Regions from separate parts of the Mus musculus genome. Here all the other regions are reported to be linked to region 1. Evidence: microRNA targets listed by miRTarBase, many of them from high-throughput screens and not tested one by one. Region 1 holds a microRNA gene; each other region holds the end of a gene's coding sequence.
Evidence for each region. Region 1 holds the annotated microRNA mmu-miR-1192 (AAACAAACAAACAGACCAAAUU, at 1,394-1,415, shown strand). A microRNA usually pairs through its seed, bases 2 to 8, with sites in the 3' UTR of a target mRNA and lowers its output. Matches are read on the target gene's strand: a 7mer-m8 pairs with bases 2 to 8, a 7mer-A1 pairs with bases 2 to 7 and ends in A, and an 8mer does both.

Region 1 (4,164 bases):
CCTAAACACACACGTTTGTGAGGTGTGTCTTCAAGCCTCTTTTTGTCTTAGCTGCACACTTCCCAGGTGCTCGGGGCTTTGGAAGCCTGTGGTAAGAGCTGAGAATCTGGACCTGGGATCCAAAGGTTTCCACTCCATCATCCCAGGCCAGAGCTGCTGGGTCTTTGCGTGAATGAAAGTGTTTTCTGGGGTTGGGGGATGGAACCTGGGCCTCCTGAGTGCTGCTAGCACTGTGTCTTGGGCCCCTGAAATTTATTGATTTATTTTTTGTTTGTTTGTTTTTCGAGACAGGGTTTCTCTGTGTAGCCCTGGCTGTCCTGGAACTCACTCTGTAGACCAGGCTGGCCTCGAACTCAGAAATCCGCCTGCCTCTGCCTCCCAAGTGCTGGGATTAAAGGCATGTGCCAACACTGCAGATCATTGTGGCTCAGAACAATGGGAGAAAGGTTGGGGGACTTCAGCACCTGCCCTTTACAGGGGATCAGCTCTGCTAAGATCACAGTTAGTGACGACAAGGCCCTGGCCCATCAGAATAGTGAGTGACTTCTCAGGAGCTCTAGCTAAGGCAAGGGGCTTCCAGAAGAGCCTTTACCTTCACCATAGAAACAGAGGTACCGTGATGGGAGCATGCACCTGCCCAGGCCTAACCTAACCCTGACTCCATAACTCTCATCACAAAGACTCAAGCAAAGCTTTTATCTCCCTGAAACCTCAGGTTTCTCACCTGTCAAATGGGGTTCCATAATTATATATATTCATGAAATTATGAGGCCACGTTCAGATGAGTCATTTAAAAGATTATGCATGCCAACCTTTTGCTGAGGATTACTACAATTAAAAAATATATATTTTACATACATATCCCAGACACCTTTGAGAGCCTTAGAATTTTTGTTTAGAATTCTAGGTGGACTCAGGATGGTGCTGAGCAATGGTGACAAGTGAAAGGTGTGTTAGATGGCGACAGCCATTGAGACTTAGTGAGCACTATCGTCCTGAACATGTAGTATGTCTCAGAGCCTGAGCTAAGTGGCTTACGTGCATTTCACTTGAATGTTAATCCCATAAGACCGAATAGAAGTGTGTTGCTTTTCTTGTTTAAACAGGAGGAATCAGACTCGTCCAAGGTTATGCTGAGATATTCCTACTGTTGTTTCAAGGTCTAAGTTGTACGTGAGGGCTGTTGAGTGGCTTGCTCCCAGTGAGAAGAGATTCTGTATTTATTCTTATGGCTCTTTTGGGTTTGGCCCTAGAGCCACCATCTTAAGCTGTCTTCCTTGTGCCCCAGGTCTGATGTGAAGATAGTTTTCATGAGTTTTAGTTAGGAAAGTCAACAAAAATAACTGCTCCTGACCTTGTCACCCGAAACTATTTCCTTCCAAACAGTAAAAACAAACAAACAAACAGACCAAATTTGTCATTGTTGTTTCGATTTGCTCTTTTTGTTTGTTTGCTTTTGTGTTTTGAGACAGGGTCTGGCTTGTATAGCTCATGCCAGCCTGCAACTCTATGGTCTAGGCTGTCTTTCTGCCTCAGCTTCCAGACTGCTGAGATGACAGGCCAGTGCTGCCACACCTGCCAGGGGCTGGGTTTGGGATCCATAAATAGGTTGCAAGCAAGAAAGTCCAGACTTGGACTTGCTCTGAGCTGGGCGTTGTGTCTCTCACCTATAATCCCAACACTTGATAGGCTTAGGCAGCAGACAACTGCCACGTGTTAGAGGGCACACTAGGCTACTTAGCAAAACTTAAAAAAAGATTAAAAATGGAGATCCAAGTTCAGGAGTTGCTGAATGCAGATGGACATTCAGTGCCCCCTCTCTCTATGGCTTTGCCACCCTCTTGCTGGCTCTGGCTTCATTCATGAGCAGGCTGTCTCTGAATGGTACTAAAATGGCTGCCAAGCAACACCAGACTCACTTCCTGCCAATTCAGCAAAGCCCCACAGAAAGACTACTTCCCATTCCTAATGATTCCAGCAAACAACCCAGGCTGAAAGCCACGGCTAAGCTTAAGTGGTGTGTCCCTTATGAAAACAGACTTATTTATCCAAGACTCTCAGGTCTGAAGGTGTGGGCTCAGAGAAAGGACTGGCTGCAAAGGGAAGCAAGGTGCACTGTTCCTTACCAGTAGAGGAAGATAGAGGCCAGACAAGGCGAATCAAACACCGATGTCCACTTAGGCTTGCAAATAGGCTGTGCCAAAGAGCAGCATTTATTTTCTCTGCTCTCCTGAGCTTAGCAGAAAAGATAGGCTCTGAGCGAATGGACAGAAAGGACCTGGCAGAGTACAGATAATTTCAACATATTTTACAAGTGCTCATGCACTCACAGGCCCCCCTGAGGAGATGATTGGGGAACCAAGACCAAACAAATGCTTCACATGGGACAAGTTTTATAAGCAGCCGTGTGATCTTCAGGGTTTTCACATCATCTATTCCAGTGCTCTGAGGGATGAAATGAATCACATTTACGTGAGCATTTATTATCCCAGGTGTTACTTAATAGAGAAGGTCTCTGTAAAGATGAGCCATTTATGTAGTGGTTCCTATCGAGATTCCAAAGTCCTTTCAATGTGCACCGTACTCAACAGAAACACCACAGTAAATACAGGAAACAGAAAATAGAGCTTACACACACACACACACACACACACACACGCCCCAAAGTGACTTAAATTCCTGGGCTGCCGTAATTCCGTTGTAGTTGTTGTATCATTACAGTTTCAAAGACAGTAGCAGAATGAAGTTGGGCGTGGAGTGCATGCCTCTAACCTGAGCATTTCGGGAGGACTAAGCAGGAGGGATGAATTCTGAGAGCATCCAAGGCCGGCTTGGGTCACTTGTCCAGATCCCATGGTGGGCAGGAGGCGGGGGGGGGGGGGGCGCGCCTCATGTTTGGAGAGCTCAGACCCAACCTTCATAGTTTCTGGTGATGAACACTGAATCAGGCCAATCTCTGACTCATTTTGTTGCAGAAATGAGTGGTTCAGTGGAGTAAGACTCTGTCACCACAGCCATACCCTGGTACCAGCAATGCGAAGTCCCCAGGGGGGAAGCTGGAGACAAATGATGGCATAGCATTGCCTGTCTGCCTCATCTGTCACAACCTACCTAGCTAGCTGGTAGAGTGGGCATAGTTACTAACCGCCCCCCCCCACCCCCGTTGGAGCAAAGCTCTATCTTGGCAGTATAAGAGTTCTTAGGATCAGTGAGTTTGTAAAGATACGATTCTACAGCTACACTGGCCTCAAACTCACAGTGATCCTTCTGCCTCAGCCTCGCAAGTGCTGGAATTATAGAAACAGCTTGTTAACACATTACATTGTATTATCTTTCTGAGGTAAAACTCAAGACAGCCATGCTAATTTGGGATTCCTCGCGTTCTTTCCCTGGTTGATATCTGGAATAGCAAAACTCACAGGCTGCTTTGGCATCATGAAGGGTCATCCCTGCAGCCTGGTGGTCTCCACTGGCTGTCACACACCCACTGTATGCTGAAGAGTGAGATTCTGGGCACTGTGACATTGCTTTCCTCTGGTGGCACCTAGTCCCGTCTCAACCCGGGTCCCACTTGACCACAACAAGCCAGCCCCTCAGGTGCCGTTCCAGTAGGACCTTCCTAACCTGGGCTTCCACAAGTTGCACTTGGTCTGGCGTGGCTGGGAGGTAGCAGCCTTTTCTGAGCACTTCCTGGTCTGACTTTAAGAGGAAATACAGAGCTCTGGCGCTCCCTAGAGACCTCTAACATCTGCACAGACACTGTTCTGCCAGCCCCATTCAGGGCTCACAAGCATAAGGTTGAAAATAACAGTAGCGAGTAGAAAAGACCCACGTAAGCCTCAAAACGCAGCAGCCTGGCCCTCTATGGACCGCTGGGCTTCGTCCATGATGCGTTGTGCTCAGGAAACAATCCAAGTACAGAGTCTGTACTGAGGCTTGTTACTTCTGCACTTGCACAAAGATGGCCAAGCAGAGAGGTCAGGGGCCGCCGTGTGCACTCCAAGGTCTTGGAGGTGTTAGCAAATTCAGAGGGAGTGAGCTTAAAGTGCATAGCTTTTTGTTTACTGAGACAGGGCTTCCTGTAGCCCAAGCTAGACTTAAATTTATTAGGCTACCAAGGATGGCGTTGGACACCATCCCCCTACCTCAGCCTTTTCAAGAATT
Region 2 (4,164 bases), not on the chromosome of region 1:
ACAGAGGTCAGAAAAAGACATTGACTCCCCTGTAACTAAAATTACAGATGGTTATGAAACTCCATATAGGTACTAGAAATTGAATCCAGGTTATCAAGAGCATTCAATGCACTTATGACTGAGCCATTACCACCACCACCACCACCACCTCCAGCTTGCAAAACCACTAGGATCAATATCTGAATGACAGCCGGGAGGTGGTGGCGCACGCCTTTAGTCTCAGCACTTGGGAGGCAGAAGCAGGTGGATCTCTTGAGTTCGAAGCCAGCTTGGTCTAAAGAGTGAGTTCCAGGACAGCCAAGGCTACCCAGAGAAACATTGTGTAAACACTGAAAAAAAAAAAAAAAGACAACAGAAATAAAACAAAAACCTGAATGCAGTTGAATAAGGTTTATTATGAGGTAGAGACAGAGAAACTGAAGAAGACTCAAATCGCACCCTTTTCATTTCCTTCTTCCTAACCCAGGAGTCAGTTTTGGACTCAGTTATAGTGCATCATGTCTTGGGTCACAGCGCATGTGGGATGTTCAGATGCTCTGCTTGGCCCTAGGGTCTTAGAACTTTCAGAAGTAACTCACTTTTCATTCTTTTCTTGTCCTAGTGACCAAACAGATCCTTTTAACCGTAGTCCCCTTACCATGGACCAGATCCGGCCCAACACAGAACTGAAAGAAAAAATCCAACGGTGGCTCGCAGAAAGGAAGCAACAAAAGGAGCAGCCTGAATAAATACTGTGAACTGCACATGCACGCCCGGGCGTGAGCTGGTGCTTGTGCTCGCTCGCTCGCTCTCTTCCTGCCCCCCACCCCCTGGCTCTGAGCCTCTTCTTTTTCTTTTCTGATTTGTTTTGATTTGTTTTGTTGGGGTTTGGTTTGGGTTAGGTTGGGTTTTTTTGTTTGTTTTTGTTTTTTATTTTGGTTTATTTCATTCTTTGTTGTTTAAATTAGAAAATTGTTCTTGTGCAAATTATGATAATTATGATTCTTAAGACCTTGTTCTTTCCCTGGCTTATAGAAAATTCTCTTCCTCACAGCATCTTTATAAATCATCACTAATTTTAGCCTCGGTTTTCCTATTCTCCTTGTTTCCTTTTCTATCCTAAATTATATTAAGTCCAACAACAAAAATGTCCTGCCATTTTTTTCTTTCCCTTCCCAAGTACTGTTCAGACATTTTTTTTAGTGAGCACTGCTTTTAAGTCTATGATGTCAGCTACTTCAATGACAGTAATAACATCCAAAAATCCTACTGTCCTGTGTATTTACTAGCCCATAAGGTCTGGACTTAAGCATCTGGCCTTAATATAGCTCTGTAATATTACAGAGTAACTTTCCAGATAAATGCAAATACCTTAGTGTGTGTATAGATTTTTTTGGCTGGTGGAGATGAGGGAATCTTATACAACTTTTGTATTATCTTGTCACTTAAAGATACGATCACAACAAACACTCCTATGAGGATCTCACCACCAAAAACATAGCTGCACAATCTTTCAGTGAGTGACAGTAATGTGTGGAACTTGCAGTAAAAGGATAAATGAGAAGCTATTGGGCCCCTTTCTCTTTTGTGCTCCAAGGTCTAGGCCTAGGTAAAATAGGCAATAAATATTCTATCTACATGAAAATGTCATTTTAGGACACTTAAAACAGTATATCTCAGTGTATATGTGTTAAACACAGATACTGTGTCCTTTTTTTATTAGTCTCACTTGAGTGCCACGTTATATCGTGTCTTCCCAGGTAAGATTTATGTAGTTGGTGGCAGTGTTTTCTCACTTGTTCTAGTCAGGTAAAACCCTAAGACTACAATGTACATAGCTAGTGTTTGGGCTGTGACCTGGCTTCTAAGAGCTGCTTCTTATCTAGCCTTAGTTTATCAATTAACAAAGTAGACATTAAAGCAAGCCATTTTAAATAAATACTTCTCTCTGGGTAGTTACTAAGTGATTCTGCCCACTTCTCCCAACTGTTTGCTCTAAGAGGCCCAGTCCTCTGCGGGATGTTTTCATATCAGTGTCAGCCCAGAGGTGTAAAGGACAAGAAAATGTGGCTGTGGCTTCTTTTACAGAACATTACTGTTACAAAAGAGTATACATATGCAAAAGCGCTGTTTCAGTATTCCAACACAAGCTGCTATAGGCAGTCCTTTGTGTGTTTTTTCTTGTTGGTGTCAACTGGAAAACTTGTGATTAGAGAGCATCTCACTCTGGCTATTGAAGAATGTACCTGTTGTGAACAGGGAAGCCTCGGGCATATCTATAAATGCCGGAAGGTTAAGGCAGACTCAGTGTGCCCCTGGGCATTTAGCTAGATGTTGACAGGATTTCTTTCCTTTAAATGAACTTCATTTCCTGTATGCAGCATTCTCCTCTCCCTCTCTGGGAATGGACTGCATATGAAATAAGCTTCTACCTGCTGCTCTTACTTTTCCAGAGTGAATGCGGGAGGATGCTTTTACGCTCTTATTTGAAAAAGAGGGAAGACCCAAGTTTCACAAGTGAAAAATGGAGGAAGATGGGTACAAACCCTTGAGAAGACAGCTGTTGCCAGCAGCTTTCTAGTGAATGGGCTCCGTGCTGCCTCCAGTGTCTGTATTCTGCTTCTGAACTGAACCGTCAGATTGTAAGCCTGTTTTGGCAAGCTTGTGTTTTGTTTTGTTTTTAAACTCTTCTGATACTTTCCTATGAATGGCCGTGACGCCACCCAAGCTGCTGAACTCCTTTAATCACAAAAGCACGTGTGTAGCTTAAGGCCACTGTGGTGAGGAAACCAAGTGTCCTCTGTGCCTTCTTTCTTTCTGTGAACTAATTTAAAGGCATCCAGAAAAAGAAACTCTAAAGACTTCCATCCTGGTACAATAAGAGGCATATGTGCATTGCAAAGGTCAAAGGGTGTCTTGTCTGGAACTCTGCAGCGGCTGTAAATCTGTTAAGACTTCTGACTACCGAGTTTTACATGACGGCTTTGCTGGAGTACTAAAGGAAAGTGAAGACTTCAGTCGGCTCACACCTCACCAAGAGGCTAATACTAAACTTGGAAAATTGTTTAGAGTTCAGGCAGTTGTTTGTTTGTTTGTTTAATATAGCTTTCCGTGGGTGTGTGAAAATTGAGGGACACTTGAGAAGTAGCATAACGAACGGTGCAGGTGAAAGTGCCAGTTGCTGCTCAGTACCACACTCTAAACGCTTCATTACTTTATTTGGTTCTGGTTGCTAAGCAGCCATTGGGCAAAGCCAAAGCCTACTGGGTACTGTGACAAGCCAGACTGATGCTAGAGACAGAAAATGAAGAACAAAACAGCAAAAAAGGTTAAACTGAAATCAAACTCAATAGACAACTGTATTTGAGACATTCCAGGAAAGTTACTTTTTGTCAGACTTGCCTGTGTGTGGGGGTGGGTGGGGGAGGGTGCTCAAAACTTGTATTTAATAAATAAGCACCTGACTTACCACCCTTGTTAGTTCTTCATTGCCGTACGGAAAGCTAGTGGCAGCCTGGTGTGGTGTGTGCCTGGAATTCCCACTACTGGTGACAGAGAATTGAAGGGCAAGGCTACCTAGTGAGTTCAAAGCCAGTCCAGGCATCTCATCAAGACATTTCAAAGGAAAGTCTGGTAGAGCTTGCCTAGCACATACATTGCTAAATCCAATCCCAGTACCACTACCACAGAAAGAAAAGATGAGTGACAGTTTCACAAGTCCTTCTGAAAACCTAGTGGGTTTTGCCAGTTTCTCAAAGGCAGGGTGCCAGCAAATGTGTATCACCTGGCTGACCTAACGCCTCACTAAAGACCTTCAGAGCAGTGCTTCTCTGTGAGTTACCTAAGACCATCAGAAAACACACATTTACAGTTCACAACAGCAGCAACATTACATTATGAAGGAGCAACAAAAAATCGTTTCATGGCTGGGGTCATCATAACATGAGGAACTGTATTAAAGGGTGGCAGCGTTAGGAAGGTTGAGAGCCACTGCTCTAGAGGTACCCTCCGGCTGTCTTCGGGAGAAAGTCTTAAGAGCTTAGACTCTAATTAGTTCCTTTATGGCTTCACTATCCAACCTAAATAACAGACCTTTTAATACTTTGCCACCATGTCCTTATTCTATTCCCATACCTGTGGCATGCAGGATCTCAGCTTAGGTTAATTTAACCATTACCCTCTGCT
Region 3 (4,164 bases), not on the chromosome of region 1:
ACACACAAAACTAGCATGAAAACTACTTGCCTCAACCACTTAAAAGCCCTTTTCTAAGAAGGGTCGTTGGTTTGAAATAGTTGTTCATGTCTACAACAATGCCATCCTAGATGTATCTGGTGTCCTCAGAATAGCTCATTTCCCTCTTGATTTCCCCTTTGTCTAAAGTTTTACTCTACTTAATCCAGATACTTGGCATTTATATTTTGTTCCTTCCTAATATTATATGAAGAGTTACTGTTTTAGGTAAGGAAATGTGTAAAATCCTTAAAAAGAAATATTTCTTTTTTTAAAATTCATAACAATACATTAAAAGAAAAGAACTACAAGTATTAACATAAAATTGTAAAAAAAAAATCCTACTGCAACACAATTGATTTTTTTTTCTTTTTGACCCAGGCACTGCTGTCAGATTTACCTCCAGAATTAGAAGAGATGGATTGCAGTCATGCCTCGCCGGATCCTGATGATACCTCACTCAGTGTGTCTTCTTTATCAGAGAAAAATGCCTCAGACAGCTTGTGATTGGGAGTGGGGGATATGATCTAGTCTGTTGATTGCCTAACAGGTGTGCATTTCAAGATAACTGTACTGTTTCCCAAACAGTCTTCAACTGGAAAAACACATTGTTAAAGCAAACATATGCTGTGAAGGAATGACAAGATATAGTGGCTACAATACAAAATAAAAAGCATGTACAATACTTGAAATGGTTTGTTTTTAAAACTTATATAAAATCCTAGGAAATTGTATTTAATTTTGACCAACTCCACTATGAAATCTATTATATCTGATTTCTGAAAGATTTTTTTGCTTATTCTTTAAGAAGAATCTTAATTTTATCCAGAAATATAGAAAATAAGCATATCACAACATTACTAAGTTGGTTAGTTTTATTTTGTAGCCATTACATCTTTCTTCCTACTTCATTTTCTTATCATTCATATACATTTTTACTCAGGAAAGTGGGCTAAAAATTTACAACAGGCCTAATCATATATTTAACCTGGATGAATCCTGGGATTTATTTTTCAATTCCGATGAGAATTTGACCTAAGATAATGATTGAAAATTGAAGCACTTACTAGGACGTAATTGTAAGTTATTGGTACTCCTGACACTGGGGAGAGGGAAAAATCCTCTGAAAAGTAGAATCATTGTCAAAATGTCAAAACATTTAAGTACATAAAAACTGTACTTTTTAAAAAACACTTTTAATCTCAATTCTTGTATACAATAAGTGATAAGTATTGATGATTAATATTCTACCATATAGTAAATTTATATAATTGAGTCAGACAAAATATTGCACAAATACTTCAAGTTTATCAACATTTTCATAATACTTTTCATATCTTAAAATTTGTGAAACAGGAAATCAAAGTATGGTACTGGTATCTGTTTGTTTTTATTTAATTCTAGACATACAACTTTGCCACAAAGTTTACCTCATTTCCATATGAGGCCTGCACAAAGCCAACAATAATGTCAAAAAAATAATTATATATAATACTTTGATTGTAAATCAAAGTCCTCTGGATCTCTTGGATGCTATTCTATGAATACACACCTAAAATGAGCATGGTACCCAGTTGTTACTATTAGTAGGTACCAAATGGCAGCACACTGTAGACATCTTTTTGCATCTTCCCTTCTGGAATACCAGATGGTATTACTAAGGTCTGTCTATAGATGGAAAAATACTAGTTTCTGCCTAAACTCACAATGTCATATATTTGTAACTAGGTTGTGTGGAACTATATTACACGATTAAATTATTATCTATTCCTGAAAGATGCATGAAGCATCTAGATAACTGTTTCAATTATCAAGTTTCAGATATGTTTAAGTTTCTTAACTACAGCTATTCTGATCTCAGAATTTACTGATACCAATTTATGATTCCAGAAAGGCCCTTATTAATCCCTCTAGCTCAGAAATGTCCTTTCTCATTACTATATACAAGTAAAGTTCACTGATGACCATTCAGTTCATCAAATGTTTGATTTTACACTGTTGCCACACAACCTCTATGGCTTCCTTGTCAGCAGAAATATTTCAGTAGTCAGCTAATCATGTCCTTTAGCTGAAAGTCATGTGGTTCTTTGCAAACAACTTCTGGTAGTCCTTGCTGACAAACCAAATTCCATTCAGGGAAAAGACCACTGAGCCACAGAAGCTCAAACATCTAGATTAAGCTCTTCAGTCACATAAATTTCTCCATAAAATAAGAGTCCTCCCTACATACAACAAATACAGAAACCCTGATTATTTTATTATATGGAGGATTAAGACAAATTTTCCTGTAGCCCAATCTGGCCTCATATTTCCAATATAGCTGAGGATGGCTTTGAGTCCTGCTGTTCCTGCCTTTGTTTCCCAAATGCCTGGATGGCAGATGTGCCCCACCACACCTAGGTTCCGTTTGTTTGAGTAGGAACCCATTTCTGGTCTCAAGTCTCTCTGTGATCTTCTTTAGTACCATTGAGTTTCTCTTTAAACTGCTTCAGTTTAAGACACTTCCTAGTTGGTTTTCATTACAGAACAAATGAAAACAACAAAAAATTATTTTCACATCTTAGAAATGTGTTACTACATTAAAAAAAAATCCTTGGAGCTCATTAAAAATATCCTTGGAGCTCTCGCTATAGGAAAGATTCTGTGGCAGACACTGGAATTTTTAAATAATCTATGGACTATAAAAAGAATTATTTCAGCTGGGTACTAGGACACATAGTAACAACTCTAGCACTGGGTAGCCTGAGGAAAGCTGGCCTTCAAAACACAAAGAAATGTCTCCTGTTAACCTTTTCAAGTCTATTAATAAAAGTTTTTCAACTAGCAGTTATAATTAATTTAAGGATTCTTATAGATGTGATTCTTAGAAAGAATGTTACATCTGTAATTTTGGGAGGATGCATAAATTGTTCTATTCCTTTTTAAAGTTTCATTTAAATAGAAGCTGTGGGTCCTCACAGTCTAGTTAGGACTACTTTTATCCTGGTGTTTTTCTTCTAGCCACAGGATTATATCTTTTATGAACATAGGAACTAAAACATTTACAAATATTAAATGGAGGTGTTCTTTGTTGTTGTTTTGGGTTTTTTTGTTTGTTTGTTTGTTTTAACATTTGTCCCTTTTATTCACAAAAATTAAGACTTACCCCTTTGTTGAACCTCTTTTCTTTATGATTTTACACAAAGGACCTTGAGATATATCAATTATAAAACCTCAAAAAAATCTTTAAAGTTTACAAACAGGCACTTTTTACAAGAGTTTTCTATAAAATCCATCAATGTAAAAAAGACACTGGACTAAATTTAAGGCATGTTCAGTTGTCATTAGAATTATTTTTGTTTTGTTGGAGACTTTTCTCTCCTCTCGTCCTGACTTCTCTTTGATTCTCTAGAATGTTCAGGGCATCTGCTAGGCTTTTCCCAGCGTCTCTTGGCACCATTCTGACACCTGTTGTCATCTCCTTTATGGTCAGAATGCTTTCAACTCCTCTCCCTTGACTTGAAGCGATCTTTTCTTCTGACATTATCACTGTCCTGATTTTGGGTTCTGTGTTTCTCATTTTCAGAAAAAGAAATCTTTTCTCTCTCACCGCTTCTTCTTTGGCTCGCCATGCTTGTCTTCTGGCTCTCTGTGTGAGCCTTGTTCTCAGCCATTGCCAACTCTGCTGTAACTATTCTCATGGCTTCTGTCTTCCATGTGCTCTGCTAGGGGATCTTGCCAGTCTGTGTCTCCTGAGTTCTGAGTTCTCTGTCTTTCAGACCTTGCTCTCTCAGTCCTCCCTTCCTGGTGTCTTTGGTCCTCCCTGCCTCCTCCTAGCCTCCTGTCACATGCCTGGTGGTCCCTGGCTAACTTATCTACTTCTTCCCCACCCCGCCCCCGGCCTTGCCTTGCCTCTTCTTTGTACCTTTAGCTGAGGCAGATCTCTGACTGCCAGAGGAGGAGGAGGAGTCGCTTGCTTCACTGGAGGACTCTGAGCTGCTCTTGCTGCTGTTGGAATCTGAGTCAGAGGAATCGGATGCAGAGGAAGACTCTGAAGATGAAGATGTCAGTGCTGATTTCTTTGTTCAGCTTCTGGTTTCTGTACTACAATGACACGGGCATATTTTTTCAGATGTTCTCAAAGTTCATCAGTCAAACCTCCGAGAC
Region 4 (4,164 bases), not on the chromosome of region 1:
GCTGGGAGGCTGTGCGAGCCTTCCATAAGGCAGTGACCGACGAGGTGGCCGCGGGTCGCCGCGCCTGGACCGACGGCTTTGAGGACATCAAAGCCCGCTTCTTCGGCTCCAGCCAGGGTCCCCCCTGGGACGTGGAGCCAGGTCGCAAGCTGGGCCTGACACCACTCGGGTCCTTGCCCCATGCTTCCCTTCCTGGCAGCGGCCCTGAACCTGCGGTGCCGCCGAGGCTGGGGTCTGATTCCCAGGGGAGCAGCTTCAACAGCGGAGACATCTGTGGCTACATCGACCGCAGCTTCGCATTCTGGAAGGAGAAAGAGGCTGAGATGTTTAACTTTGGAGAATGACTGTTCACCTGGTGCGATAGGACGCTGGGGGGGGGGGGGAGAGGTTTGGGGTTCCTTTGTTCATTCTTTGTGCTCCCCGGGGGTCAGGTGAAGTGGGCTGACTTCTGTCTGTCTTCATAGAGATCAGAGGTCTCTTAGGCCTTGGTGCCCATCTCTTCTGAGCAGTGACTGGGATCAAATCCTTCTCACTTGTGAGCACAGCCCTCAGACCCTCAAGTGGTCGTATGGGTCTGAGGGTCCTGCAGCCAAGGAGCTGGTTCTGTTTCCAGCTGTCACATGGGTGTCAGTTTTAATGGCTCAGGTGGTCTCAGCTACACGGCCACCTTCTCTACACCTCCCTTTGGGCCTCAGCTCTGGGCCTGCCTCTATTGTTTGTTTGTTTGTTTGTTTTCTGGCAACTTCCTATCTCTAAAACCAGAGGGAGCTGTGTCTAGAGTGACCAATCTCCCTGACAGGAGAGCTTCTGAGACCCCAAAGCCTCAAGGCAGACAAGTGGCCCTGCCCCGATTCTCCTGCTGGTCAGCATAGCTGCTATGGTATGAATGCTAGCAGCATCTCTTCTCTGGCACTGCCTGGACCCTGAAGGAAAGCTCTCTGTTAGGCCTTTGTCTTCCAGCTGACTAACCCTTCCAAGACCCTCAGATGGAGGCCGTGGCTGGGCCACAGGAGGTCCCTAAGAGCAAGGATACCAAGAGGTGAGGAACCCTTTGAATAGAAAGGTTGGTATCCTCTGGAGGGAAACTGGCCTTCAGAAGCTGGGAACAGCTTACAGCAAGGGGCAAACATAGCAGGGGTGTTCATGTGGACATCTGGGTGTCACCTTCCCACTTGGGCACAGAGAAAGGAGTTAAACACCTTGGGGATTCCAGGTACCATAGAGAGCCACAGGAGCCAGGTGCTAGAGAGGGATCCCTCCCCACCCCCAGATTGCTGACTGTAAGATAGAGCTTGTTTGATTCCCGCTTCTGGTGACAGACAGAAGGATGAGTCACCACCCACCTTATGGGGGCCAGGAGAACTGGCCTGGAATCCATGGAGGACTTTGGGGTAGTGACTTTTTGAGGAGAATACAACTGGCATGGGACAGGGATCTGCAGTCAAGTCTCTTAGGGGCAAAGCCATGCACAGTGGGGACAGGCCATCTCCAAGAGTCTCCTACAGTGTCCCCGCATTACCACTAGGGGGAGCAGGGAGTCCTAACCTTGGGCTCTGGGATGACAGTAGAAAGGCAGTCTATACAGACTCAAGACTATGTAAGGGTCCCATAGACGGGGACCTCCAGGGAGATAAAGTTGGCACAGGGCATGGGTTTTGGTGCTGGGGGAGCCACAAAGGGCAGTGGTACAGGTCCTGGCTCCAAGTTGCCTCCAGCCTGGGCCCACCTGGGACCTGCTCTGAGATGGTGGGGTGAATCCTCCTTTTCTGCCTTTGGCTTCCTCTGCCTTTAGAGTCTCATCAGAAGCTGAAGCTGGATATATGTTTGCTAAATAAAATTGCCACCACAATACCCACACACCAGCAAAAGCAAGTGCCCCCTCCCAGCCCCGGCCCTCTGGTGTAAGCTGCACCTTTTAAAGATGGTGGCACATTTTAGTTTGGTGAATTCACACTTGGAGTCTATTCTGGGGGAAATAACTGCATAGCTGATCCTCTTCATCACAGCACCCAAAATGGAAAGTGACCCGAAAGCCCGTGAATAGGAGCTGTGCCTGGTGTCACCTCCAGCCTTGGGAAGGAAGGTATCGCCATGTCCAGATGAAATTTAAACCTGTGTTCTCAAACCAATCTCCTCAAAGCTCATGATTCACCATCAAGTGATCAAAACAGTGACTTGGGCTCCTCCCGCGTCACGCCCAGACTCATGGTTGACAGTCTGTAAGGGATATTGTTATTTGCTGCTGGAGAGTTCTTCTTTATACTTTTCAAACCCGTGTGTGTGATTTTTTTTTTTTCCAAATCACCCTAGGCCTATTTTAAAGGTGCAGCCCTTGGAAGAAATCTGTCATTTTGAGATCCTAGTTGAAAGGGCAACAGAAACCCCATTTGTCTCCATTTAAGGACCAGGCCTGATTCCGAAAAGAAGGCCATAAGCGCCAGCTCCAGGAACAGCCTAAGGATACGCACAAAATGGGGAAATATCTCAGAATGAGCCACCTGTGCTGGGCAGCCCTATCTCATCCTATGGTTAAACATGACATAGAAATGCAGACCTCTAATCACCTGTGACCCACTAGCACTCACAAAGGAAATTTTAGATTACCCTACCTTTTAAAGTAACCTACCTTTATCTAGGGTAACCATTTCAAAAAATGGTTGGCCCCCCGCATGCTGGTTGTTTCTGCAGAATAAACACTCTTTGTTTTTGCATACTCTCTGAGGCTGGGGTCTTCCTTCAGCAATTTTCAGACCCTTATACTAGTGTTGTGTCTCCTGCCTGGTCTGTCATCTGATGATGCACCGAGCCTCTAGTGCCCGCATGGTCTGCTGGGGACCTGCTCACTTGGCACAGCCAGCACTCTCTGTGACAGAGCCTGTGTCACCATTCCTGTCCTTCACTCCCTCTAGACAGAGCAGGGAGGCACTGACCCTGCAAATGGGGTGTTAAGCAAAGCCTTCACCTTGCTTCAGTATCTTTCCCCTAAATGCCTCCCAGACAAGGACACCCATGAGGGTCCCCTATACCACATGAAGTTTAATATCAAAACCGGAGAGAGCGTCTCACTGTGGCCAAGAAACGAGGGACGAAGGAGAAGGTCATGGAGGTGAGTAAGGAGAGAAGCACAGAGCAGGGGCCCTGCACATGGCAGGCCCTGCAGGGCTCTCCTGGGGATGAACAAGTTCTTCCTGGGAATGAGGCTGTAGTGAGTGTCTGCTACATGAATGTCCCCAGCTGCTGTACCAGACAGGAAGATGTCATGTATCCAGCACTCTGCCAGGAGGGCTGTCCCTCAGGGCCACCTGGGACCCTGTCTGTGAGAACATCACTTCCATCCCTAGTGCCCTCCCAAAGCAGCATACCTATGGTTATTCTACATGTGAGAAGGAGGGAGGTACTGATGATACGGCCTAGCCTGCTCACCCAGGCTGAGGTGTCCCTTCTGTGCACTGAGGTATCCTACCTGTGCATTAAAGCACCCTGTACTGGCTGGTTTTGTGGTCAACTTAACACAAGCTGGAGTTATCACAGAGAAAGGACCCTCCCTTGAGGAAATGCCTCCATGAGATCCAGCTGTAAGATATTAGTGATCAAGGATGGGAGGGACCATTGTGGGTGGTACTATCCCTGGGCTGGTAGTCCTTGGTTCTATAAGAAAGCAAGCTGAGCAAGCCAGGGGAAACAAGCCAGTAACATCCCTCTGTGGCCCCTGCATCAGCTCCTGCTTCCTGACCTGCTTGAATTCCAGTTCTGACTTCCTTTGGTGATGAACAGCAACATGAAAGTGTATGCTGAATAAACACTTTCCTCCCCAACTTGCTTCTTGTTACCATGTTTTATGCAGGAATAGAAACTCTGACTAAGACAATTTGGTACCAGCATAGTGGGGTATTCCTATGACAACCTGACCATGTTTCGGGAGGACTGTGGAAGGACTTTGGAATTTTGGGCTAGAAGATCCATTCGGTGTTAAGAGCTCTGTGGGGTGTTCTGAAGGCGCTTGGAAGATAATGTTGAGAACAGTGCAGAAGATGGAGGCCTTGCTTGTGAAATTTCAGAGGGAAGATTAAAGACTCTTATCAGGGCCATTGCTGTTTTGATTGGGAAGATTCTGTAGTTCTGGTTAGCTGGGACTGAAGAATCAGCTGTGATTAACAAGATACC
Region 5 (4,164 bases), not on the chromosome of region 1:
AGCTTGTGTCTGGTAGCCCTGACTCAGACTCTGGAATCCCAGTCCCTGAAGCTGCTGGCAGATTAAGTGAAACCCGCACACTTGTGTTCTAGCAAGTGACCCTCACACAACCAGAGAACCTGGGACCTAAGGTTTACGGGCAAGGTTCAAGAGAATTGGTGGCTCTTGCACCCTCAGCTAAGTTTTAGCATAGTACTGTGTGAACACAGGCACACTTTGATGGGTGGGTGGCATTTGGCTTTCTTTTCTATAAAGACTGTGATACAGAGAAGTGGAGAGCCAGTAGGATGCTCCGGAGGGTCTAGCCACTGGCTTCTTCTCTCAGAACACAAAGCAAATCACCATCTTCTGTCTTTCAGAATCAAGAGATTGAGGAGCTGACAAAAATCTGTGACGAGTTGATCGCAAAGCTGGGAAAGACCGACTGAGAGCCGTCCCGTGAGCTGTGCAGATCCGAGTCTGGCTGCTTCTGTCGTGACCACATTATCTTGCCTTATCCAGAAATAATGCCCCCCACCCCCCTTTGCAGAGAGAAGTAATTGTTTCAAAGCACATGCCTGCTGCTGCCATCGTCCCCGCTTCGCCGCTGCGCTGCCGCTGCTGCTGCTGCTGCTGCTGCTGCGGCCTGGCTGGTGGAGAGGGAGTCACAAGACAGCTCTGCCCTGCGACCTGGCTGCCAGCTCCCGTTAGAGCTGCTGCTGGGTCTGGCTTGTGCTTCTACAGCCTGAGTTCATCTAGCTGTCGTCGTCGTCTTTGCTTTTCCCAAGTTTGTGACATTTCTAATTTTGTGGCAACTGTGTGGGTTTATCTTCCCAGCTCCTGTTTGATGTTTTTATGACCTAGTTAATGTTTTAAGTTTTCAGTATCAGCAGTTTTACTGAAGGGGGCAGTCTGAGTCATCGTCACTAACACTTGGGGCTCCGAACTCCCTTTTAGTTACAGACGGACTCATGCATGTGTTCTCTACATTCTGCCGCTTTTCCCCTGAGGCATATCCAGATAAGACCCTCTGGGGAGGAGCGTAGTTACAGAAAGAAATGTAGGCTCTTATTTTGAAACAGAGCCCTAGGTCTAAAAGCCAGCTTCAGACTCGGTAGGGGCTGGGAACCTAGCTCTACTGGGGAGTGCTTCCGGTACACAGAGCCCTGGGTTCGGCCCCCAGAACTACAAACACTGGATATTGGAGTGCATGCCTGTGATCTCAACTCTCCAGAGGTGGAGGCAGGATGACCATAAGTCCAAGGTCACCCTCAACTACATAGCCTCTTGGAGGCCAGCCTGGACTATGTGAGTTCTTGCTTCAAACAAGGAGTGAGTGGAAGCATGGGGTATCCCAGCTAGTGGGAGGCAGGACAGGAAGATCACTTGAGCCCAGAGTTTAAGGACAGCAGTGCACTAGGCAAACAGTCCTTTTCTTAGAAATCAAACACCCAAACCAAACCTTGAGTCAGGGTGGAAAGGCTGAGGATACGAGGGCCAGGGGTCATAGCTTTCATGGCTAAGGAAGATTTGCCGTGCTGTCTGCTGCCCCGGTGTTTGGATACCCCAGGACCTCAGCATGGTCCCTTATGCTCATACCAAAAGCAGCAGCGTGGCCTCCCTCAGAGCTGGCCTTGGATGCATGCGTCCACCCCGGGGCCGATGAGTCTCTAAAGCAAAGTCAACTTCTGTTATTTATTTGAACCGCACACCAGTGGGATGTGGGAAAGGTTTAGTTGATCTTGTTAAAAGATGACAGAAGCCCACATTACCAGCCAGAGAGTGAAGAGCCTAGGTTTTCCCTGTTTAAAGGCACGGCACCCTTTTAGAGACTTAAAAATAACAGCAACAGCAACTGCTTTCATACTGGAGATGGGCTTTTAAACAGAACGGGCCGGCCGTAAAGAGTCCTCTGGCTCGTTCTCCAAACCAGCCCCTGGGAATATTCTAAACAAAGACTGCTTGAATGCTGGGAAGGGGAGCAGGGGGGGAGGTCCACAAGACAAAGCAAAATTCTATGAACTCAGACTGGACTTACCCTGAGGGCGTTAATCCCCAAATAGACATTTCCCTCTTTGATGCTAGTGACTTCTTTCCATCTATCTAACAGGCAAAGTCAAGTCCACTCAAGTTTTGATGCCTTTTTTTTTTTTTTTTTTTTTTTTTTGCCTTAATCTTATACCCTGTGTCTTCATGGTAAATGTGCACTATTTAGCACACAGGCATATCCCTCCTTGTAAAACCATTGCATGAGCCGACTTCAGCAATGAATTGTGCCTCATGGAGAACCTCCATAGATCTTAAAAACAGTGTTCCTTTAGCAGTGTGTTGCCATGTGCTGTAACTTTTAGCCCCAGGGAAGTGAGTAATGTCTTTTCAAGCTAGAAATCACATTTTTGTCAATATGCATTTATTATAACCGGTGCTTAGGTTAGGCTATATTCTGAGGCCTACTGTCTTTTAACATTTTGTACAAAAAAGAAGAAAAAAAACCCCAACAACCCACAAGCAGACAGAAGTTATCTGTGGTTGGAGAAATGGCTTGACAATCATTTGGGCTCTGAATTTTGTCACAGTGGCTTAATGCAAAGCCCATAGCAGTAGACATAGTGTCATGTTCAAGTGTCTTCAAGGGTCATAACCAATGTCAGCTTAGCCGTCTTCCGCAAGGGAAGTTAATTTTGCATTTTAAGAAGCAACGCAGGAATTCTTGCTAGTGTTACGGCGGCATCAGTGTGCGCTCATTTTATATTGACTTATTTTCAGTATGGAAAGCTTAAGAGGGTCTCCATCGGAAATCTCTTGTTCCCTGATTTTTTTTTTCTTTTAATAGTACTGAGATTGTACCCAGGGTCTTGAACATGCTAAGCAAGTGCTTTATCATGGAACTGTATCTTCCCCTGTCATCTTTCTAAGCATGCATATTTTTAAAGTGTCCTGTGCTGTGCTGTATGTTAGGCATAGGAGAGGAGCAGTGGCTGTCCCTCCCTGCACACTGGCAGACGGGCCTTGAATAACAGGCCCTGCTAAATGAAGCTGCCGTACAGGGGACATGAACTAGCCCTCTAAGCAGTGTTTGCCAGTGGCCTCTTAGTCATCACCATTACCAGGAAAATGTTCACAACGTCCAGCTTTCGAAGATCCTCCGCCAAGAATAAGAATGTAGCTTGCACAACTGGCAAATTAAGAAAATATACTAGGCAGAGTAAAGTCTATTTATTTATTTTGTTTTAATTATATAAGCCCTAAAAAGCTTTTTAGCACCCTGGAGAGTAAAAAATATAAAGTCGTCTTCAACACACGCTAGGGGCCAAAAGCTTCTTTGTTAGGTGATTAGAAGGGGGGACCAGGCATGGTGGCACATGCCTATAACCCTAGCACCCTGGAGGCAGAGGCAGGGACTAAAAGTTCAGGCCTCGACTGGGCTATACCGTGGGGCCCTTGTTTTCAAAGACTTGAAAGCTGTGTCTGGTGGTAGCGTTTGCCGACCATGTGCCAGGCACTGTTGCCAATCCCCAGCACTGTCAAACAAGATATAAAACACAGGAGAAAGGCTCACAGTGGCTTGTGGGATATTAGACGATCTCATTGAGAACCGTTTCTTCAGTTCTGCTTTGCCAAAGTACAGGCAATTCTTAACCTGTCCGTCAGCATTACAGACTGACCCAGCTTACGGTGGGTCGGAAAGCAGTGCTCGCTCTGTTTGGAGACCGGGAATTCCCCTACACTTCATATTCTCTGAAGCTCTAATGTGGATTCAGGCATCTTGAGAAACAGACCAAATTAGGAAGTCCTGAAGCACAGGGCTGGGAGGCCCAGAGTGGATGGGATGAAATCCCTGATTTCAGGGTTATAGCTTAACGCTAAACTTCCTTTCCAGCCAGTGGCCCTGTTCCCCCTGCAGACATGCCTGTGTACAAAAGCTTGCTCAATCGCTCGCTCACTGGGCAGCCCTGGGCTGAGCATGGCAGGCCAAAGACTTCCCTTTCAGCAAAGATGGCGCAGGCTAGAAAGGGCACTCTGCGGCTCACAGTCTCTTTAGGATCTGTGGCCTAAGTTCAGGGCATGCTGAATTGAAAGTGGCGTGGCCCTTCTGAAGCCCCCTTCCCAATTCCCCGGGGCTCCATTTCAGATGATCTCTCTGCTCAGCTGTTCCTGCTGTGTCTCTGTAGGACTGTGGCCCTC
Region 6 (4,164 bases), not on the chromosome of region 1:
GTATTTTTCCTAGGAATATTGCTCAGTATTCACCATATTCATTCATGATAACTTGGTAGAACAGATAACAAGATGGATACCATGCAAAATGCAGACGAGCATAAAAAGGACTATACAGTCCACTGTACTCTCACGATGGCGCTAGCTGCTGTCAATATAATTATTATACTAACAGAACTAGATTAATAAAAGTATATGCTTTCAGTCTTTTCCTATTGATACGTAAGCATGATTTTCAAAAGCTAAGATCACATCCGTTATTTCTAATATTATATGCATTATGTTCCTATATTGTTAAATGTGGAAATATTTTTACTGTTTTGTCATAGTTTATTTGCTCAAGAGGCCTGTGTTAGACAGCTGTGTTGTTGATGACATTTTTTGCATTCTTCTTATTTCATAGTTGTTGTTTTAGCTCCGAGTCTGGCCCTCATTTCTCCTTTAGTGGCCAACGCGTGCGCTTAGGGCTGTGCTTCTGCCTCAGTGTGACCCGGTTCTGATTCTCATGCATTCTTTTTCTTTTTTGTTCTTTTCTCTCTTTCTCTCTCTTTTTTTTGTTTTGTTTTACTTTTTTCTCTTACAGTTCTTATAGTTGTGAAATTCCGTACTTGATTTGATGACAGAGACCCTCATTAAACAAGATCTGGGACAATAATATTTAAAGATTGCTGCATAATGTAAATGAAACCTATGTATAGAACTTTCAAATTTCCTTTTTCAAGAAACTAAAAGGCAAGTACCAATTCAAATTGGAGCATTGAGAATATCGAATGATCACCTTTCCAACTAACAAAATGCATTTTGAATAATTATATTTGATGTAGAAATATCTCTATTTTGCTTTATTCCAAGGATCTAATTTGAAACTAGATACTTGCCAGTCTGTTATTTGTATATATAGTTGAACCCTGATAACAATGCCCCATACTTGTGTTTCAGTTGCATTAAAGACATTATTGCATCTAAGTGAGAGTCAGTCTGGTGACCAGGAAGCCTATGTAGAGTCCTGACTCTTTGCTGCAAGAGATGCATAACCATCCTATCAGTATTTGCAAGAATGCCATTCTTTTCATATTGTAGTTGCTTTGCAGGCAATTTCCACACTTATGGATTAACAAAAGCTAAGTGTTGTAAATGTTTCTGCCTTCAGCTCTACCCGAAAACATTCCAGTAAACCTATTCTGACTGTATAAGAAAATACGTGGTAATTTTTTGGTCTTTGGATTTTGAAAATGGGAAATTTAAACAGTGTGAAAATCATAATATGGTCCTATAAAACTGGAGATAATAAAATTTTTGAAGAATGTCATTGGAGTGTTTGAAAACGAGCACTATGTAGCTCCCAGTCTTGGTCCAGTTGGTTGTCAGTTAAACTACAATAAAAAGGGACTAATTCTGACGTGAGTAAGTGAAGGCTGCAGGTAATTTTTTTCTTGACTTCATTTTTTTAGTGGTTTTCTCTTTTTAATTTTAACTAACCCTGTGCCAGAGGTGCTGAAGTTAGCGCAGTCATGTGCCTCTCACCTTGTATTCTCATGCTCTCTGACACTCCTGAGGAGATGGGTGTCACAGGTCTTCAAACAGCCAGTGTCAGTCAGTAGCCGACTGTCAGGAGCATAGATGTCTTCACATACTCACTCAGTGACTGATGCTGAGGGGCCACCATTGACCCCAGCCTGCTCTTAGGACAAGTTGTGTTCCTTGTAAAGAGTACTGGCCTCTTAATATTGATTAAATAAGTCAAAGTGAAGGTGCTTCCTGCTGTGCAGGGGGAAGGCAGAGACCACAGGAACTGTTCACATGGACATCTCAAGCTGGAAAGAGAGCTCACAGGGGCGGCCAGGATTGGGGGCAATGGTCCTGTATAACAGATATTAGTTTTTGTGATCATTTTAATTCAAAATGTGTAAAACAATTTGGATTTTTCTTTGTTTAATTCTACAATGGTTAATACTAACAGACAAAATGTTTAGACTGGAAAGAAACTTGAAAAGGTGGAAACAAGATTAAGTGGTAGCCGAGCCGGGCATGGTGGCACACACCTTTAATCCCAGCACTCGGGAGGCAGAGGCAGACACAGACGGATTTCTGAGTTCGAGGCCAGCCTGGTCTACAAAGTGAGTTCCAGGACAGCCACGGCTACACAGAGAAACCCTGTCTCGAAAAACCAAAAAAAAAAAAAAAAAAAAAAAAGATTAAGTGGTAGCCTAGGTATCTAAGTATAATTGCTGGAGTTTACAGTTTGTTGCACACTGTGGAAAATCGACTCTGGCCTTTTCACCATGCTCGTCAATTCCTGTGCGCAGCATCTGAACTGAGAATACATCATTTGGAGAAGGAGTGCTCTGCATTCCAGCAGCTGGTGGCTCAGGGATGGAGGTGTTTCCTCCATCAGCACAGCTGATCCCAGTGTGTGTGTCTTGTACCTCAGGTCACAAGTTCCACTGCTTGGTGTGGAAGACACTGTCACTCAGTGTCTGTTAGCGAAGATGAAGTGTTGGGTGTTTTTCTTTAGAAGACTCCAAATTTCAATCTTCTTTTAATTAAGTATGCCACTTTTAAACAAACAATTATAAAACATAGAATTGTAAAGTTAATTTTAAAACATTAATTATAAAACATATTACTTAACTACCTATATATGTAGTTGTTTATATTTAAATTTCTCGAATCTGAGGAAATCCTATTGTCATGGGACTGAGGATTTTACAACAGTGATGGCTTCAATCCCAGTTTATCACTTTGTCCCTTTTGGTCTTATGTAATCCTGAGACCTAACAATGACATTAGGGTGAAATACTGGAAATGTGGGTGTTTCTACAATAAGATGCTGAGAAGAGCCAGGTGTGATGGCTCACACCTGTAACCCCTGCTCTATGAACACTGAAGTAGGAAGGTTTCTCTGATTTTGAAGCCATCCTGGGGTTCATGGTGTGTTCTGTACCAGCCTGGGCTATAGAGTAAGAACCTGTCTGGGGGAAGAAAAAAAAAAGCCAACCAAGCAAACAAATCAGAGGAGAAACAGTTGTCAGACTGATGTCAGGCCTGCCTTCCTTCCCTCCTTAATCATTCTTTTTCTCATTCAGCTCAGATCATCCTGCACTTGAAAAAATGAAGTTTTACCACCATCAAAACTATCACTATTTAACAACAGTGAAGATCAACAGAAAAATTCAAGTAGCTTTGCTAATGTTAGTTGATGCCCAGTGAAATCAGGTCACCACTGCCGTGCCTGATGCGTGCCCCTGTGGTTTTTCTGTAACAGAAGCCTCTCCCTTGCAGCAGTTTGTGATGAATGGGTTCCTCCTCCATCATAACCCAGTGTTAGTGTTGCCTGTGGTCTTTTTATTCCTTTGTCCTAACAAAACTCATTGGGAAATGTCCCAAAAGTTTATAAGCTGGGAAATTTATTGATTAAGAGAAGGTCCAGTGCTGATGATGGAACATTGTTTAAAATGGAGAAAGGGTAGCACACATCAGTTGCAGAGGTGCCTGTGATGGGGTTCCTGTAGACTCTCATTACAGTCCACTCTGGGTTCTGTGTTAGAAAGTAATGCCATTCTGATAGCAGCAACCGGCACCTTTCTGTTCTGTATGGCATGTGGGTGCCCTCAGATGTGATAAGAGCCTGACCTCTGTCCTTGTCACTTAACACCTGTTCTGTGTGCTGTCGGCACTGTAGACCAAACAGACTTGTATTTACATCTCATAGATATTTTATGGCTAGAAAATATGCAAGAAGTTTTTTTAGTGTTGAAAACAAATGTCATTATATGTTCTTAGTTGTATTGAGTCAGAGTGTTACGAAGTTAGGAACTGGACTACTAATCAGATTTTGTGTTTTCTCACAGAAATGTTATCAGAGTCACTTTTACTTCTCTGTGAGTGATAGTAAGAGCATGACTCAGTCTAAACACATGAAGGTGGGGGTTGTCAAATAACAGCAGAAAGGCAGTGGCTCAGAAGACACAGAAAGGGGCCATCTTAGTCCATACAAATGTGCCTTCCCTTAGACTGACAGGGTCTGAGTTTATCTTGTATGTCTTGGTTCTTTTGGTTGGTTGGTTGGTTGGTTGGTTGGTTGGTTTTATTTGGTTTTGGTTTTGGCTTTAGTTTTGTTTGTTTGTTTGTTTGTTTGGATTTTTTTTGTTTTTTTTTTGAGAT
Region 7 (4,164 bases), not on the chromosome of region 1:
GCTACCGTCCGAAGTGCTTTTTGTGGAAAACAGCTATCTACCTCTATAAGAGAAGCCATGCACATAAGACCCTGTGTCTCCCCCCAGAGAAAATGGCTTTATTTTCAGAAAATAGTTTGTTCTTTTATCTCTGCTTGTTCATCAAATTATTTAGATGGCTGTGCTTTTAAAAGAAAGATAGAAAGAGAATGAGTTAGCATTTTAAATAACTTTTTACATGATCTTTCTGATTTCAGGTATTAATCATGGTGATCTTAATGACCATAACATTTTAGTAGACCTCAGCAAGTCAGCCTCTGGAGAAGGTGTGCATCAAGTGTCTGGGATTTTAGACTTCGGTGACATGAGCTATGGCTACTATGTGTTTGAAGTGGCAATCGTTATCATGTACATGATGATTGAAAGCACAAACCCTATACAAGTAGGAGGTCACATCCTCGCAGGGTTTGAAAGTGTGATCCCCCTGACGGCTGTAGAGAGGCAGGCTTTGTTTTTACTTGTATGCAGTCGTTTTAGCCAGTCTCTCGTCATGGCTGCATACTCCTGCCAGCTGTACCCAGAGAACAAAGAGTACCTCATGATTACAGCCAAAACCGGATGGAAGCATTTACAGCAGCTGTTCGACATGGGCCAGAAAGCCGTTGAAGAAATCTGGTTTGAAACTGCCAAGTCCTATGAATCTGAGATATCCATGTGACTGCCGCGGTAAAAAAATTAAATCGCTCAAAACTCCCCGGTGGTGCACATGCGCTCGGCGCTATGCACCCACAATGTTCTGGATTCCCGAGTGAAAGACACACACGCACAACCTTATTTTTAATATGCCCTAAGCAGGTCAATTGCCGGGCCACTCCCTAACTCCACTTGGTTAACGCACACTCCACTTCAATATTCCTGAGTTATTACTTACTAAAATCTATATATTATCTTTGTGCCCTGGACCTGGCTGGGCAGCCCTCCTGGGCAGCTTTCCCCCTGCACCTACATGTCGGCGGTCTTTCCCTTCTGTATCTTTCTGGCGTGGTCCTATGCCCCTCTTGTGGCAAAATCTTCTCTTCCTACTCTCTCTGTCTCTTCCCAGGAATCCTAAAAGTCCCACCTCTGTCTCTGCCCAGTCATTGGCCGCTGGTAATTTTATTGACAAGTCAAAAACTAACTGGGGACAGGCTTCCTTTAGTCCTAAATGTGGGACACTGCAAACAGGTATTTTTGGTAACATAATTAGCATGAGAACACAAGCCGTTACAAGTGACCTTAGAAAAGCTTGTGTTAATTAAAACCCAGTTGGCCTAGAACAAATTTATGAAGGATTTTTGTGCAGAGTTAAAACTGAAATGGTAAAACAGATCCATTCTCACAGGGCAGTGGTGGCGCACGCCTTTAATCCCAGCGCTTGAGAGGCAGAGGCAGGCGGATTTCTGAGTTCGAGGCCAGCCTGGTCTACAGAGTGAGTTCCAGGACAGCCAGGGCTATACAAAGAAACCGTGTCTCGAAAAACAAAACAAAAAAACAAAACAGAGCCATTCTAAATAGGAATTGGTGAAGGAAGATCTAATTTTTACAGCGATCTTTGGACCATCTTTTACTCTTAAGAAAGTCTACATGATGAACCCTTGCCTAGTATGCAAAGCCCGGGTTCAACCTCAGCACTACAGAAACAAGGAAATCCACACAAGTACCACCCAAGTAAGCATGTCTCTGTGCAGGTCATGCTTGCCTTTTACAAGAAACACACATGATGATACATGACTTGTCTTCAGTCTCCGAAGATCGATTCTCGTCCTTAGATCAATGATTTTTAAACTTTGAAAAGAATGCATATGTACAGCTATATTAATTTTGTTTGTTTGTTTGTTTGTTTTTGAGGCAGGGTTTCTTGGCTGCCCTGGAACTCTCAAATTCATAGAGATCCAATTGCCTCTGCCTCTCAAATGCTGGAATTAAAGGCATCTACCACCGCACACATATTCACATATTTTGAATAATCCACATATTTTAAATACCTAACCTATACATCGCTAACTCTATGAATTCTTCCTTAATCTCACCTGTCAAGAAGTGAGGTAGTGAGGTCTTTCTGTCTTTTTTTTTTTTGGCATTTTACTATTACCTGCATATTGTTGTACAGTCATCTATCTTGTAAGTTACCATGACACAGACCATGAGAAACTTAAATACATAGCTTACACATCACAAATTCTGTAGACTCTTAATCTCACCTCTCTAGAAGTGAGGCATTCTATCTTTTTTGTGGCATTTCACTCTTACCTGCTGATGGTTGTACAGTTATCTATCCTGTAAATTGACATGGCACAGCCATGAAAAACTTACATCTGGGTGTCTCTTCTTGTCCCTCTGATAGTGCCTTCCCCACAGAAAAGTCTTTGGACACATTTACAAAATGAATGCATGCAAGAAGAAAGATATGGTGAAGCCCTCGGGGAAAACACAAGAGGGAGTCCTGAGAAAAACTTGTTTGGGAGAGTAGCTGCAACCAGAACTCCAGACACAAGTGCATTGAAGCACATGTAGGCATCCAGGCAAGGCCATTATCCAGGACACCAGCAAGGCGCCTCAGCAGTTAGGGCTTACTATGCTCTTCAGGCTGGTCTTAAACATCGTGGCTCCCAAGATCCTCCTGTTCAGCCTCCCAATGCAGAGACTATAGTGATACACCATTCTGTTTGGCCCCACATGTTCTTTGTTCTCTATAACTAATGATTGCCTTTTTATAAGATTCTGTAAAAATGCAGATCATTGCATTGCATACTTGGCTTAAGTTTTATCTCAGTATTTCCTTTACTGGCTCCTTTTCATGTCTCTCTAGTCTAAGTGGCTATTTACTTATTCTTGTAGGGTGGGATTTTTTTTTTTTTCTTTTCTGTTTTGAGACTGGATTCCACTGTGTTGTCCATACTGGAATCAAGCTGTCGCATGGTTATCCTGGACTCACATGATAATCCTGCCCATGCAACCCAGTAGCTGGGACTGTAGGCATGCATAGACCACTCACTGCATTCTTTTGTTTAACCACATGCTTTCTAAAGATGACTCAGGTCTAGACCCCTAGTCATTTATTTAAACATCTTGTTAGTAGTTATCCGTCTATGTGAGTAGGCTTTGATACTATAACTCTTGTCTGATGTTTGCCTGCCTATCTACCTGTCTAAACTTCCCAAACTAGGTATTTCTCTGAATTTACTTATACAATTTATTTTTAACTTCTCCATGTCTCCCTTTTCTTTTCCTTTCTCGTTTCTTTTCTTTTCTTTTTTTAGAGCAAGATAATGTTTGTACTTAGAGAGTCAATTGTGAGGGTTTTTTAAGAGGCTATGGCAGCCTCTTAGCATAGACTCTGGCACATAGTAGAGGCATAATAAATAGTTACTAAATAATGGATCATATTTCAGGTTACGCACACTCAAAATATTGGTGTGGCACGCTGCTTGCCCTTCTCACAGTCAGCCATCGAGCCCTGCTGCTTTCACAAATCAGGATTTTAGGTTAACAAATCTGGAGCGGTTTTGTCTTTCCTGCTTCATTAGTTTTTCAGTAGAATATACTATACTACAATGATTATTGAATGTTATTTTACATGCACTACCTCATTTAATCCAGAACAGAATCACAAAGATATTCTGATGATTAATCTCCATTTTTAAATAAAGAAATAGAGCCTTGAAAAGCTGATTTATTGCTTTAGAAGGGAGCTCAGGCTTAGATCTTGAATTAGGTCTTTGGGCTGTTACCCCTGTTCCTAATCACTACAAAATCCCATCCTGCTGCCTTTCCTTCCTTGTTTTTACACACCCACACCCACACCCACACACATGGGGGCAGTACATGAGATCATTCACATGTGAAACACTTAGGATACTCATATTTGAGGTTTTTATTTAACTTGGCCAATCAGGACCAGAAAAATGGGCTGGAACTTGGGTCTCATTCCAAATCAGTGTTTATCCTGTTATACAATGGAACTCTGCAAGTTTCTCTTGATTGTTCTTGCTAAGAGAGATTCTCCACTAAATTCCTATTGCAAATATTGCTAATTTCTGTTTGAAATTAAATATATGCTGCATTGTATGGATATTTTACCTTTTGGTCTTTTTTTCTCTCTCTCTCTCATTTTTAAAACAGTCTCACTATATATCCCTGGCTGGC

Region 2: the mRNA of Ube4a is a reported target of mmu-miR-1192. Seed matches in the 3' UTR shown: 7mer-m8 at 895-901, 7mer-m8 at 3,062-3,068, 7mer-m8 at 3,066-3,072 and 7mer-m8 at 3,070-3,076.
Region 3: the mRNA of Hdx is a reported target of mmu-miR-1192. Seed matches in the 3' UTR shown: 7mer-m8 at 713-719, 7mer-m8 at 1,401-1,407 and 7mer-m8 at 2,424-2,430.
Region 4: the mRNA of Espnl is a reported target of mmu-miR-1192. Seed matches in the 3' UTR shown: 7mer-m8 at 715-721, 7mer-m8 at 719-725, 7mer-m8 at 723-729 and 7mer-m8 at 727-733.
Region 5: miRTarBase lists Tacc1 as a target of mmu-miR-1192. Seed matches in the 3' UTR shown: 7mer-A1 at 3,301-3,307.
Region 6: miRTarBase lists Vamp4 as a target of mmu-miR-1192. Seed matches in the 3' UTR shown: 7mer-m8 at 2,241-2,247, 7mer-m8 at 4,118-4,124, 7mer-m8 at 4,122-4,128, 7mer-m8 at 4,126-4,132 and 7mer-m8 at 4,130-4,136.
Region 7: miRTarBase lists Hykk as a target of mmu-miR-1192. Seed matches in the 3' UTR shown: 7mer-m8 at 1,842-1,848, 7mer-m8 at 1,846-1,852, 7mer-m8 at 1,850-1,856 and 7mer-m8 at 1,854-1,860.

Annotation. Positions count from the first base shown.
Region 1 is chr19:23,148,057-23,152,220 of GRCm38, forward strand. It overlaps Mir1192 (microRNA 1192), which reads left to right and starts at 1,375; the gene lies at 1,375-1,495. The region is part of intron 1 of Klf9 (Kruppel-like factor 9); the gene reads left to right.
Region 2 is chr9:44,922,413-44,926,576 of GRCm38, reverse strand. It overlaps Ube4a (ubiquitination factor E4A), which reads left to right. Exons shown (of 21, transcript NM_001346698.1): 21 at 602-3,450. The coding sequence ends at 728. It overlaps Gm30934 (a long non-coding RNA gene), which reads right to left. Exons shown (of 2, transcript XR_379340.4): 2 at 2,332-4,164. Among named protein-coding and RNA genes, the nearest start is that of Atp5l, 3.8 kb to the right of the region's middle.
Region 3 is chrX:111,573,634-111,577,797 of GRCm38, reverse strand. It overlaps Hdx (highly divergent homeobox), which reads left to right. Exons shown (of 10, transcript NM_001080549.2): 10 at 400-2,594. The coding sequence ends at 525. It also overlaps the pseudogene Gm7340. Among named protein-coding and RNA genes, the nearest start is that of Rps6ka6, 38 kb to the right of the region's middle.
Region 4 is chr1:91,345,594-91,349,757 of GRCm38, forward strand. It overlaps Espnl (espin-like), which reads left to right. Exons shown (of 9, transcript NM_001033292.3): 9 at 1-2,710. The coding sequence ends at 344. Among named protein-coding and RNA genes, the nearest start is that of Klhl30, 3.4 kb to the right of the region's middle.
Region 5 is chr8:25,156,016-25,160,179 of GRCm38, reverse strand. It overlaps Tacc1 (transforming, acidic coiled-coil containing protein 1), which reads left to right. Exons shown (of 13, transcript NM_177089.5): 13 at 360-4,164. The coding sequence ends at 428. It overlaps Mir8108 (microRNA 8108), which reads left to right and starts at 947; the gene lies at 947-1,055.
Region 6 is chr1:162,593,963-162,598,126 of GRCm38, forward strand. Vamp4 (vesicle-associated membrane protein 4) reads left to right here. Exons shown (of 8, transcript NM_001356527.1): 8 at 584-4,164. The coding sequence ends at 612. Among named protein-coding and RNA genes, the nearest start is that of Vamp4, 26 kb to the left of the region's middle.
Region 7 is chr9:54,945,830-54,949,993 of GRCm38, forward strand. Hykk (hydroxylysine kinase 1) reads left to right here. Exons shown (of 5, transcript NM_177351.4): 5 at 237-4,095. The coding sequence ends at 697. Among named protein-coding and RNA genes, the nearest start is that of Psma4, 2.9 kb to the right of the region's middle.